Alligator mississippiensis: one gene and its partners. The protein of the gene in region 1 purifies or fractionates together with the protein of each later gene. This does not show direct contact. Links are inferred from orthologs where the notes say so. Each region holds a gene or a part of one and is shown in the gene's direction. Other genes may lie near its edges.

Region 1 (3,743 bases):
TGATACCAGCATGATGCAGGTAGCAAATTTAGGCTCATGATGGCGTAAGTAGCCATATTTACTGTGCAGTACAAGCATGCACGTGTAGACGCGTGCCCATACTGCGCAGTAAATGTGCACACGTAGATGCGCCCAGGGTGGTTTAATGGGCAGGACACGCTGCCTTGGCTGTTCTGCTGTGGCAAGTTGGCAGTGGGGGCTGCCGCCTCGCAGCAGAGAGTGCGCAGGGCACAAGGGCCCGGAGAGGGGCAGGGGGCACCCGTTGTCTTGTAACATTAACACTTTCTACAAATGCCTCTGCCCCGCAGAGTCGCAGGAGCCCGGCTGCCCAGCACTGCGGGGGTTCCTAGATGTTACAGATTTACTTTTTTTTTTAATGAAATTTTTCATGTTCCCAGCCACATGAAGTCCAAATCCGTGAGTCAGTCCAGAACCGTAAGCGGCCCTGCGCTGGGAAACATCCTCCACCCCCACCAGGGGCTTCAGCTATTTCCAAAGTCTTGCACAGAGCGTCGGGTCCAGCCACCCTGCACTTGCGCAGGTCCTTTCCCAGGGAAGGCTAGTTTCATCCCCGGGGGCTGGGCCGGCTGCGGTTCCTTGTCTGCGAACGGGGGCGATGAAAACGCCGGGCGCGGGGAGGGCGCGCCGCAGCCACCCAGGGAGAGGGTGCAATTGCGAAAGGTGGGGGGGAAATTGTTGCATATAGAAAATCAGCACTGCGCAGGCGCGCTCAGCCGCGCAGGCGCGGAAGGGGAAGGGCGAGAAGCCGCCTGGGGTTCTCGGCACGCGGCCGGCGGGCCGAGCAGTGTGAGGGCAGCGCGAGCCGCGCCCGGATTGGGCGGGGCACTTCCGCCCGCCTGCGCCGCAGCCAACCAGCCAGCGGGCAGGAGCGCGCGCCTATGGGGCGTTGGCCCCGCCCACCGGCAGCGGAGGCCCCGCCCACCGGCAGCGGCTTACATAAAACAGCCGGGCAGGTTCTGCGCTGACGTCACGAGCCGGCTCCCAGCATGCCTCGCGGCGCCGGCTATATAACCGGCATCCGGCCGGCCGGGCGCTCCCCATTCATTGGCCCCCGCCGACACCTCGGGACCTTATTTCTTCTCTGCTAACGTCGCCGCCAACCAGCAAAATCGCTTCCTTCAGCAGCGCCGCCATGCCCGGGTACTCCAGCGACAGGGACCGAGGGTGAGGCCGGGGGGGGGCCCGGCCGGCGCCCGCCACCGGCTCCTGCCCCGCGTGAAATGGCGGCGGCGGGCGGGGGTCGGGGCCCCGCGGCGCCCGCTTCCCTCTCCCCGCCGCTGCCATGAGGGGGTGGATGCGGGGCGCGGGAGGGCCCGGTTCGCGGTGCGGGGCGGGGGGCACGGGCCGGCTGCCTTTGTGCGGCGGGCGGATGCTAATGGCCGGCCCCGCCATGCGGCGGCTGAGGGGAATCAAAATGCCGGCTGCGCTGCCTTTGTTCCTCCTCCTCCTCCTCCTCCCCCGCCCCCGCCCAGCCCGGCTCTAAAATGGCAGCGGCTGGAAAATGTGGCGTAGGCAGAAATGCCAGACAAAGGAAGCGGCGCCGAGGGGGGCACCGCGCCGCCTTGTCCCCTCGCCCAAGCGCCCGCGGAGGCACCGCGCCGGCCGCCGCATTCCCCCCCCCCCCCCCCCCGGTGGTTTGCACGGAGGACCAGGGAGGAAAAAAATAAAAATCCCCCCTGCCTGCAGCGCCCAAGGGACGCGGCTCGGCGCTGCCCGCTCGGCTGACGCAGGAGGGGAGTGTCCCCGCTCTTACGAAAGCCGCCGGGTTTGGCCCTGGTCCAGCCGGCGGTTTATTTATTCGCGTCATCCGTCGGCAAGGAAGGGCTTTCTGGGGGGGGGAGAAACACAAAAAGCTTCGCCGGGCGGCACCTCGCCCGCCTCCGAGAGCGGAGCGGAGCCTCTTGCGCGCGGCTCCCATTTTGAGTCGGATGCGCAGCGATAAAGATGTGCCCGCGTCTCCTGCGCGCCCGCCGGCGGAGCCCGGGGGTCGGGGTAGGCACCGGCACGCGTTTATAAGGGGGGGGGGCTCGTTCCTGCCACGGCTCTTTTGTTTGCTGTCAGTCCTAACCTTGTCTGCGTCTTTCAGGTTTGGAGCCCCTCGGTTTGGTGGGAGTCGAGGCGGCCTCCTCTCCGGGAAGAAATTTGGAAACCCGGGGGAGAAGCTTACCAAAAAGAAATGGAACTTGGATGAACTGCCCAAATTTGAGAAGAATTTTTACCAAGAGCATCCTGATGTAGTTCGGCGTACTGCAGTACGTATTGTGACCATTTTTTTTTTTTAATTATTTTTTTTGGCCGTTTTAAACCTAATCGGCTTCATATTGCAAAGGTTGTACCCACTGGAGCCTGATAGCTTTCCAGTGTACTGACTTGAAACAAGTTACTACAAGCAGCAGCTGGATTTGAATGTAACATGGGGTTTTTTTTTTGTTTTTTTTTATTAAAATAATTGAAACGAAATAAATAATTCAAATAAATAAAATAATTGAACATCTTTTCTTTTAACAGCAAGAGGTTGAACAATACAGAGCAAGCAAAGAAATTACAGTTAAGGGCCATACTTGTCCAAAACCACTCATAAACTTTTACGAAGCTAACTTTCCTGGTAAGTTTAGCCAATTAGTGCCAAGGCATTTGATTCAAAGCTCATTAAATAGAAGCATCAAGTTAATATATGCCCCCCCCCCCTTTTTTTTTTCCCCAGCAAATGTTATGGAGGTAATTCAGAGGCAGAATTTTACTGAACCAACTGCTATTCAAGCCCAGGGATGGCCTGTTGCCTTGAGTGGACTGGATATGGTTGGAGTAGCACAGACTGGATCGGGGAAAACGCTGTCTGTAAGTTTTTTGGGGGGTTCTTTTTGCTGTTTCCTTCTTTTTCGGTTGTTTTTTAATACATTTTAGTGTAATTGTTTAATTTCTTAGTTTTTAATTTATGTAATAGCAGTTAAGCTTGTTTTGGCTTTACAATAAGGGGGGGAGCAGGTTTGAGTAAAAACTGCCTTTTGTTTTTCTACAGTACCTGTTGCCTGCCATAGTGCACATAAATCATCAGCCATTCCTAGAGCGTGGAGATGGACCTATTGTGAGTATAACTTGATATGAAATATCCTTTCATTCTAGGTTGCGTTTTTATATTGAGATGAATAGGGAGGAGTGTTTATACTCTTCTGGACAAAATAATGTCTTATTTTGAGAATAGAGCAGGAGTGCTAGTTCACTCCTAAATCATATGTTCTCTTGTATTGGCTGTAAGAGTCCATACTGGTGGAAAAATTGAAAAATGGGGTAAGTGGTAGCCAAACCAAGGGAACTAAAAGATTTTTTGTGAGAGCCCTACTAAAAAGCAAGTTCTCTAGCTCTTAATTAAACACTTGGGATAGAATTTTTTTTTGGCCACATTCCCCATAACGGAAAATAAAATCTTTCATTACTTCCTTAAATCTTCATTCTCTCTTAAAGATAAAACACGTTTTGTAATCATTGCACAGAGAGCTAATCTAATCTAATTATTTCCAGTGTCTGGTGCTGGCACCAACTCGAGAACTGGCTCAACAGGTGCAGCAAGTAGCTGCTGAGTATAGTAGAGCATGTCGTTTGAAGTCCACATGTATTTATGGGGGTGCTCCAAAAGGACCACAGATCCGTGACTTGGAAAGAGGTATGAAGAGAACTTATTTCTTCATGGCGAGTACATAAACAATGTCTTAACTTTTGTCAGG
Region 2 (3,743 bases), on another chromosome or scaffold:
ATAGTTCAGGGGCCTGAGGCAAGGACACAGACTGTACCCCTTCTGCTCCTGCAATCCAGGCTCCACCAGCCCCATCCTCCCGGACCTCAGGGGGTGGGATGGCACACAAAGAGGCTCTTAAAGGTATCTGGGACCATGCGATGCATCAAGAGTGTTTGACTGATTCTCCTGTTGTTATCAAATACCTAATGGAAGCGCTTATCATAAATTTGGCAATAACACCCTACAGCAGCCACACTTTGAACTTGGATCGCATCTTTGATCCCGGGGGGTGAAAAGTGGGTCAGTCAGCAGCATTATCCCCATTTCACAGAGTGAAACCGAGGCACCCGGGATGGCCCCCAAGCAGGAAGGGGGAAAAGAGCTGGACAAAGAACCAAGCTCTTGTCTCAGCCAAAACACTCGATCTTACACCTCCAGCTCTCCTGTGAAATGCGAGTTCTCATCTTCACTTAAAAGAAATTTTACAATCTTTGCACTCTCCTATGCCTGAGGAAGGGCAAGTGTGCCCAAAAGCTTGCAAATCTTTTGTTTTTTGCAAATATCTAGTAGGTCTAATGAAAGATATCATCTCTGCCACCAGCTCTGAGTCCTAAGCAACTGGACACTTAAAGCAGGGGAAAATCCTGGTGCCTACTGTGCCAGGAGCTTGCAGCACGGGCTGCATTTCAGAAGGGCTTGCAGGTCCAGAAGGGAGCGTGGCTTTGCCCCCTGCAGCTGCCTGGGCTGGGGCGGGTCAGCAGCCAGGGCAGAGGGCGAAACCCCCAGCCCTGACCTGCCCCTCGCCGGGCCCAGGCGCTTGCGGGGCTGCAAGGACACGGGCCCAAGCCCCGGGAGAGGGGGAGAAGGACGAGAGGCTCAGCCGCCAAGGAGGCGCCTCCGTCGTTGCCCCCTGTCCCGCGCCCGGCCCCTCGGCCCTGCCAGCCTACGTGACCTCCGCTACCCAGGAGCCCCGCCGGGCCGGGCCTGTGCGCCAGAGGGAGCTGTCCGGACCGGAGCTCCGCCTCGCACGGCGGGGCCGTGTCCGCGGGAGGAAGCGGGCCGCGGGCCGCGTGCCGGCCGCTGGTGTGAGGGTGAAGCCGCGCAGCCGAAAAGGGCTGGGGGTGCTTCCCAGGACGGGTCCCGCACCTCAGGGCGTGTCCCTACGGCTCCTCCACCCCGCGACGGGCTCTGTCAGAGTCGGCCCGGCTCCTTTAAGAGAGGCCGCCTCTAACCGGCTGAGCCCCCGGCCCGGCCCGGAGGTATCACTCCGCCCCTCGGGGCTGGATCCCTGCCCCGCCTCCACCCCACGCTTGCCACCGCCCTCCGCAGCTACCGCCCCCCCTCCACGGCCCACGCGAGGCGCCGCCGTGTCCCTCCGCGTCAAGAGCCGGGCACTACTTCCTGGCGCCCCGCCCAGGCTGTAGAGCGCTGCGCGCGGCGGATGGATACATCCGCGCACTATAAGAGCCGCCTTGTGCGCGGCGCCATTTTAAGCTTCTCGCTCAGGTCGGTGGCGGCGGCGGCGGAGGAGGGAGCAGAGGAGCCGGGATCGCCCGAGCGGCGGCGGCAGCCGGAGGCCGAGGAACCCCACGCTTGCAGCGTTAGTGCCGCGCTCCCGAGCGGGATTGGGGGGCTGCGTCTGTGGCGAGGCGGACCGGGGCGGCGGAGCCCGCGGGGGACAGCAGCTCCGTCCCGGCCGTTTTGGGGCCCGCGGGCCCGGGTGGACGCCGCCCCTCGGTACAAAGGGCCGGTGCGGTCCCGGGCGGGCGCGGGAAGGGGCCGGGTCGGGGCCTCCCTCGCCCTTTGTTCTGCGCTGACCCCGCTGTAACCCGAGCCGGGCTCCCGGCAGGGCTGCGGCCGGCGGGCAGGGCAGGGCGCTGGGGAAAGCGGGTTTGTTTTGAGAAAGTACTCCTCAGTCAGGGGAGGGGCTGGGGCCGGGCTGCAGCGCCCGGAATGGGCCGCCTGGATCCCAAGCCGTGGCCCCCGGGGCGAGGGGGCGGGAAGGAGAGGGAGAGAGGAAGCAGTGCCGGGAGCCCGCTCCGCTTTGCAGCCAACTTGGGGCTCCCCGGACTTTTGTGTGGTGGAGAAGCCGAGTGGGGCGGTCTGTTCTCCGCTTCGGCAACAAACCCTGCAGACAGTGTGTGGAGCTGGACGGGAGGCTGCAGGGGACCGGCGGCGCGTCTGTAACTGAAGTTGTTGTGCGTTTGGAAGCAGTTCACAATAGTTCGGGTTGGGAACAGCAGGACGGTGGTGACAGCACAGGCGGCCACAACAAAACTTTTTTGTTAGAAACATCATTAAACTGCCTGTTGTGAACAGCACATGAAGAATATGACCTCACTCCTCATTATTTTAAGCTTCCTCTGCCCTTGAGCAGGTTTTTTGCTTGATCAAGGTTCTGTAAAACAAACTTTGGTAAGAGAAACCAGACTTAATTGGCTCCCTGATGGTCTAGTTGGGAGGGGGGGAAATGGTGTGTGTATTGGCATGTGACTAGAAAAATCTGTATGGCAGTTGAGCTGCAGTGAAGTAGGTTCAAAACCAGGCTGCATTGAACTGTGCTGCAGACTTGTACAAACCCACTAGTTCAGGGAAGCGTGTGTTTCTACTGAGCAAAATTATTGTAGTAGTAAAGGATGGTGAGGTGTGGGCTCAATGTGTCTGAAACTTAGTCTGTCTAATTACAGTGCCTTAAAACACCCCCCCCCCCTTTGCTATGCCTCTAAATTGCTTGGATTTTGTTGCTGCTTTGACATTGAAAGGTCTTCAGTAATGTAGCTTGCAACCTAAGATGCCTTCTCCCCCCCCCCATGTTCTCAGACTTGTATTTAAAACAACAAAGTTAATTCTCTATCAGCGAGCTGTTAAATATAGGGAGTTACTAGTTATGATTGATATAGTGAGGTTTTTCGCCCTGCTCTTTGTTTCTGGGGGTATGTTGGCTAGACTGTCACTCTCTGAACCCTTTAAAAATGTAATCTTTTGGGCACAAACACCCTTCTTCAGGCATAGGGGGAGACTCCCCCTATGCCTGAAAAAGGGTGCTTATGTCTGAAAACTTGCAAAGAACAATTTTTTTTCAACTATTCAGTTGGTCTAATAAAAGATCTCGCATCTACTTGAAGAACCTTGTCTGCAGATGTCCTGAGACCAACAAGGTGACAACCCTTAAAAATTAACTTAATTTATAGCATTAATATAGTCTGGCTTTCATAGCTGATGGAAATAATTACTTGGATAACTGTCAGCATAATATACCAAACTTGCTTAATATAGTATAGTGTGAGCAGATGTTAAGTTCATTATCATTTTGATGAATGCAGGCTCCATGATGAGATGCTCTTTTCTCCAGTTCTTTTTATGTTAAGTTTTTTTTTTTTTAAAGTAAACACAAAAAAAACCCCAACACCCCCCTTCCCCCCCCCCCCCCACCTCAGTACCGTAGGTTGTATGCCACAGAGGCTCAGAGCTAAAACCCTAATGTTTGGGGCTGCTATGAATAAGATGGGGCTAATGACATCAACTAGATGGAGCATTATTGCAGCAGTGTGGGCTGTAGTACAAAACCAAATCACCATGATTTGTAGTACAGTACAGTAGTCTGTTGTTCGTTCTGTAGCACTGAATCAAATCCTTAAGCAGTTCCCTGATAAAGCTAATGTTGGAGCAGGTTGGTGTAGACTTTAATTGGCATCGCAGAATTCTCAAACCTGCTTCTGCTGAACGAGGATTACTTTTTTATTAAATGAAAAGTGGCACTT
Region 3 (3,743 bases), on another chromosome or scaffold:
AAACCCCGCATGGACTGAGCAGGCAGAACTCAATCATTCGCAGCACCATGTATGGCGCTACAACCGGGAGCATCCTCCATCCCAGGGACTTCAGATCCGCCCACATCCATCGGCAGGCGTCCTACGTGCAGGCCCAAACCCGGAGGTCTTGGCAATCAGATGCCCCCACTTGATAGTTGCATAGTTGTTGGGGGCTGGAAGGGACCTTACAGATCACGGGGTCCGGCCCCCCTGCACTTGGGCAGGAAAGGAAAGGGTGCGTAGAGCGTCCGTCCGTACAGGGCACAAACCCAGGACCTTGGCGTTATTAGCACCAAGCTCGAACCACCTCAGCCCACACGAGATCTCAAGTAAGCAAAGCTGCCTCTCCCGGAGCAGCGAGCGAGGGCACTTTCTGCCTGGCCGCTCCTGCCGTGCTTGGCGTCCAAAGGCCGCAGGGAAGCAGGACGGGGCGACGCAGCGTGTGTGGGGCGGTGCAGACGGACCCCAAAACCCCCACAGGCTTGGGACCACCCCTGCGTGCGCAGAACCATGCGTGGAGCCCGGGCCCAGCCCTGCTGGCTCGTACAGGTCGCCCCCTCCGCACTAACGGGCTGCGCAGCCTGAAGGGAGCTCTGGGGGGCTGCTACGTGCCAAGGCTCTGGGGCCCCGCTGCAAGCGGCGCAGCCACCCCCTGCCTGACAGCCCCGGCATGACAACGGGCCTGCCCCAAGCACCACAGCGCTTTTCGGCCGACAGAAACAGAAAAGCCGAGCACAGGGAGGCTAGGAGGGGCTTTGGCCTCTCCTCCTCCTTCCCCTTTAAGGGGGGGCGGGGCGGAGGGAGTTTGCGGAAGGGAGCGGTGCACGGCGCGCGCTGAGTGGCTGTCGGCGCCTCGTGACCACCCCCCCGCCCCGCACCCCCCGGCGTTCCATTGTGTGCGCGAGCCCGGCCGCGACGCCAGGCCCCGCCCCTCACCCCTCAGGCCCCGCCCCTTCCCCCCCGCCTCTTGGCTCACTTCCGGCTGCCGCCGCCGCCGCTCGCTTCCCTCTCGGAGGACTCGGGAGAGCGAAGAAACAACAGCCGCCATTTTGTTTGTGTGCGAGCGACTGAGGGAGGGAGGGAGCCGGAGCCTGGGCCAGCGCCGGCCGCACGGGCAGAGCCGCACGGAGGCGGGGAGTGCGCAGAGAGAGGCGCCGGGACCCCCTCAGCCGCCCTCCTCCCCTCGCAGCCGGCAGCCGGGCAGGACAGCCCGGATCCCGCCCCGCGCCCGCCCCCCGCCGCCCCCCCCACCCCCCGGCCATGGCGGAGGCGAGAGGGAGGCTGCGCCGCGCCTGAGGGGCGGAGGAGGCCGGGAGTCGCCATCCCCGCGCCCCGCGGGGACAACCCGGCCCGCCCGAGCCCCGGCCTCGCCCGCTCGAGAGGGGGGCTGTAGGCAGAGGGGGGGAGGGGCCGGCTGCTTCCTCCTCCTCCTCCTGCTGCTACCGCCGCCGCTGCGGGGGGATCGCTCCATCTGCCCGCGCGGGGGGGGGCGCTGCCGAGACGCCGAGCGACGCCTGCCGCCGCCCCGGCCGGACCCCCAGCGCCGCCGCGGCTCCGGCGCCCGCACAGCAAGATGTGAAGCGGAGGCTCCTGGGACGCTCCTCATCCTCCCCGCGCTGCAGCCATTAGTGCCTGGCCCGGCTGGGAGCTGGGCGCCCCGCACACGCGCCGCCCTCCCCGGCCCCGCCGCGGGGCTTTTTCGCAGGGCGGCGTCGGAGGGGGAAGGCGCTGCTAGAGGACGGTGATTTTTTTTTTTTTTTTTCCCTTTCCTCCTCTTTTTCCCCCCCTCCTCCTTCTCTCCCCTCCTTCGCCCGCCTCCTTGTGGCGATGAGGAGGAGGAGGACGACGCCGAGGAGGAAGAGGCTGATGGCGGCGGTGAAGAGGCAGCGGCAGCAGCAGGAGGAGGAGACCCCCCGGAGGATGATGAAGATGATGGTGGCGGTGAAGAAGCACCAGCAGCAGCAGCAGTGCACCCGCTGGGATTAATCGGACACGGCCTCTGGCAGCTTGATTTTTTTTTTTAAATTTGATTTATTGTTATTAATCTTTTTTTTAAAAAAAATTGGCAGTGTTGTTGCTGGCCGGGGCTTTCCCAGCTGCTCTTCTCATCCGCAGCTGCCCTTTGGCCTGGGGGGAAAGGCTTCCCTTCTCTCCCCCCCACCCTGCTGCCTGCATTTGCCCCACGTCTCCGCTGCCACCCGCCTAGAGACTGAGCCTGAAGGGCAGAAAAAGGGGAACTTGCCCTGCTTTCATCTCCTCCAGATCCTCCTGCCTCTCTCTCCGTGTTGTTGTTCTTCAGCTGAATCAGGGCCCTGAGAGAAAGGGGCGATCTTGGGGTTCCCCCTTCCCTCCCCCCCTCCCCAGCCTCCTGCGCTGTTTGTCTAAAAAAGAATTAAAAATGGCCGAGAATGTGGTGGAGCCGGGCCCGTCTTCAGCCAAGCGGCCTAAACTCTCCTCACCGGCGCTCTCCGTGTCCGCCAGCGACGGCACAGGTCAGTCTCAGGGGCCCAAGCCCCCACCCTCTTACTGCCCCAGCTGTATACCCAGAGCTGTTTTTTCTCTCTCCCTTTCCTCTTACCTTCAGTTTTACTTCTTCCCTGCCCGCCCCCCCCTTTACACTCTCTTCCTTTCCCTTTCCCTCTACATTCCCTCCCTGCACCCCCTTTCTTTGCATCTCTTCTGTGCTAACATCACTGGAGGGTGATAATTGTTGTTACTTTTTATTTACTGGAAGAGCTAGAAACGTAAGGTGGTTGTCTCCTGCATTTGGCCATTTGCAGAAAAGCCTTAATTTACCCCTTTTTTTTCCCCCATCCATTTCATTTCGCAGCAGTAATTCTTTCAGAGATCTTTATTCTCTATCTCTGTTCCAGTTGCAGGCATAGGCAATAGTACACACATGCAGCATCTTCGTTGCATTTCTCTCCACTGTCTTTCTGTGTGTGTGTGCACGCATGCAAATAAACAGGGTCAGCCCATAGGGGCTGTTTTTTTTGGCTTGTATGTAAGGTTTTTACATAGCATTCAGATTTTTCTTAGCAAATGGTTTAATTCTCTTCCATTCTCAATTTCCCCCCCTCATTTCACTTTGATTATATTATTGACTTTTTAACTGTTCCTTTTCACTTTTTCTCTCTTGCACAAGGATCTCTAAAGATGAGGTATTCTGCTGTTTTCTTTGATTATTTCCAAACTTATCTGTCTCAATCTCTATTTAAAATAAAGATTATGGGGTATGTGGGTTCACCAAGAGCATTTATATCTTCATACAAACATGCATTATTTCACCTTATTTGCATTAAGAATCAATATGGAGCGCAGTTCATTCTGTATCTCCCATTTCTTTGCTGCTGAGACCAAAATGTCTGAAATTCCCATTTAGATTTACCAGGTAGAGAAGATGAAGAGGGTGTTCTTTGCAATCTTGCAAGGGTTTTTAATGATGGTGTTTTAGGGGGGGAAGACTACTCTGTAGAAATGTCACAACAGAGAAGAAATATCACTAAAGGATGCAAGTTTTAAGTGTCCCAATCCTCAGCAAACATGAATGAGCTGTTCTTGAAGCTTCCAGTGGGGTGTCTGCTTTTTAATGAACCTCTGGTGAGCAGATGATCTTTGGGGATCATTTTGCTTTATGAAAGGACCAAGCCACCTGCTCTCAGAAGTTTCTTAAAATTCACTTTTAGGTTTTTCTGGGTAGTGGAATTTTGGGGACTCTGTCT

Evidence for each region.
Region 2: the proteins of DDX5 (region 1) and CTNNB1 purify together in Homo sapiens (affinity purification with mass spectrometry; 3 studies listed by BioGRID, with this or other methods). This does not show direct contact. The link is inferred for Alligator mississippiensis from reciprocal best matches to the Homo sapiens genes DDX5 and CTNNB1.
Region 3: the proteins of DDX5 (region 1) and EP300 purify together in Homo sapiens (affinity purification with western blotting; 5 studies listed by BioGRID and IntAct, with this or other methods). This does not show direct contact. The link is inferred for Alligator mississippiensis from reciprocal best matches to the Homo sapiens genes DDX5 and EP300.

The regions. Positions count from the first base shown.
Region 1 is NC_081831.1:6,446,660-6,450,402, forward strand, and holds the start of DDX5 (probable ATP-dependent RNA helicase DDX5), read left to right. Parts: upstream 1-1,047; 5' UTR 1,048-1,153; coding exon 1,154-1,185; intron 1,186-2,107; coding exon 2,108-2,273; intron 2,274-2,529; coding exon 2,530-2,626; intron 2,627-2,725; coding exon 2,726-2,859; intron 2,860-3,040; coding exon 3,041-3,106; intron 3,107-3,540; coding exon 3,541-3,682; intron 3,683-3,743. UniProt on the Homo sapiens protein: Involved in the alternative regulation of pre-mRNA splicing; its RNA helicase activity is necessary for increasing tau exon 10 inclusion and occurs in a RBM4-dependent manner. Binds to the tau pre-mRNA in the stem-loop region downstream of exon 10.
Region 2 is NC_081828.1:136,001,574-136,005,316, reverse strand, and holds the start of CTNNB1 (catenin beta-1), read left to right. Parts: upstream 1-1,474; 5' UTR 1,475-1,582; intron 1,583-3,743. UniProt on the Homo sapiens protein: Key downstream component of the canonical Wnt signaling pathway.
Region 3 is NC_081827.1:97,652,335-97,656,077, reverse strand, and holds the start of EP300 (histone acetyltransferase p300), read left to right. Parts: upstream 1-1,013; 5' UTR 1,014-2,419; coding exon 2,420-2,513; intron 2,514-3,743. UniProt on the Homo sapiens protein: Functions as a histone acetyltransferase and regulates transcription via chromatin remodeling. Acetylates all four core histones in nucleosomes. Histone acetylation gives an epigenetic tag for transcriptional activation.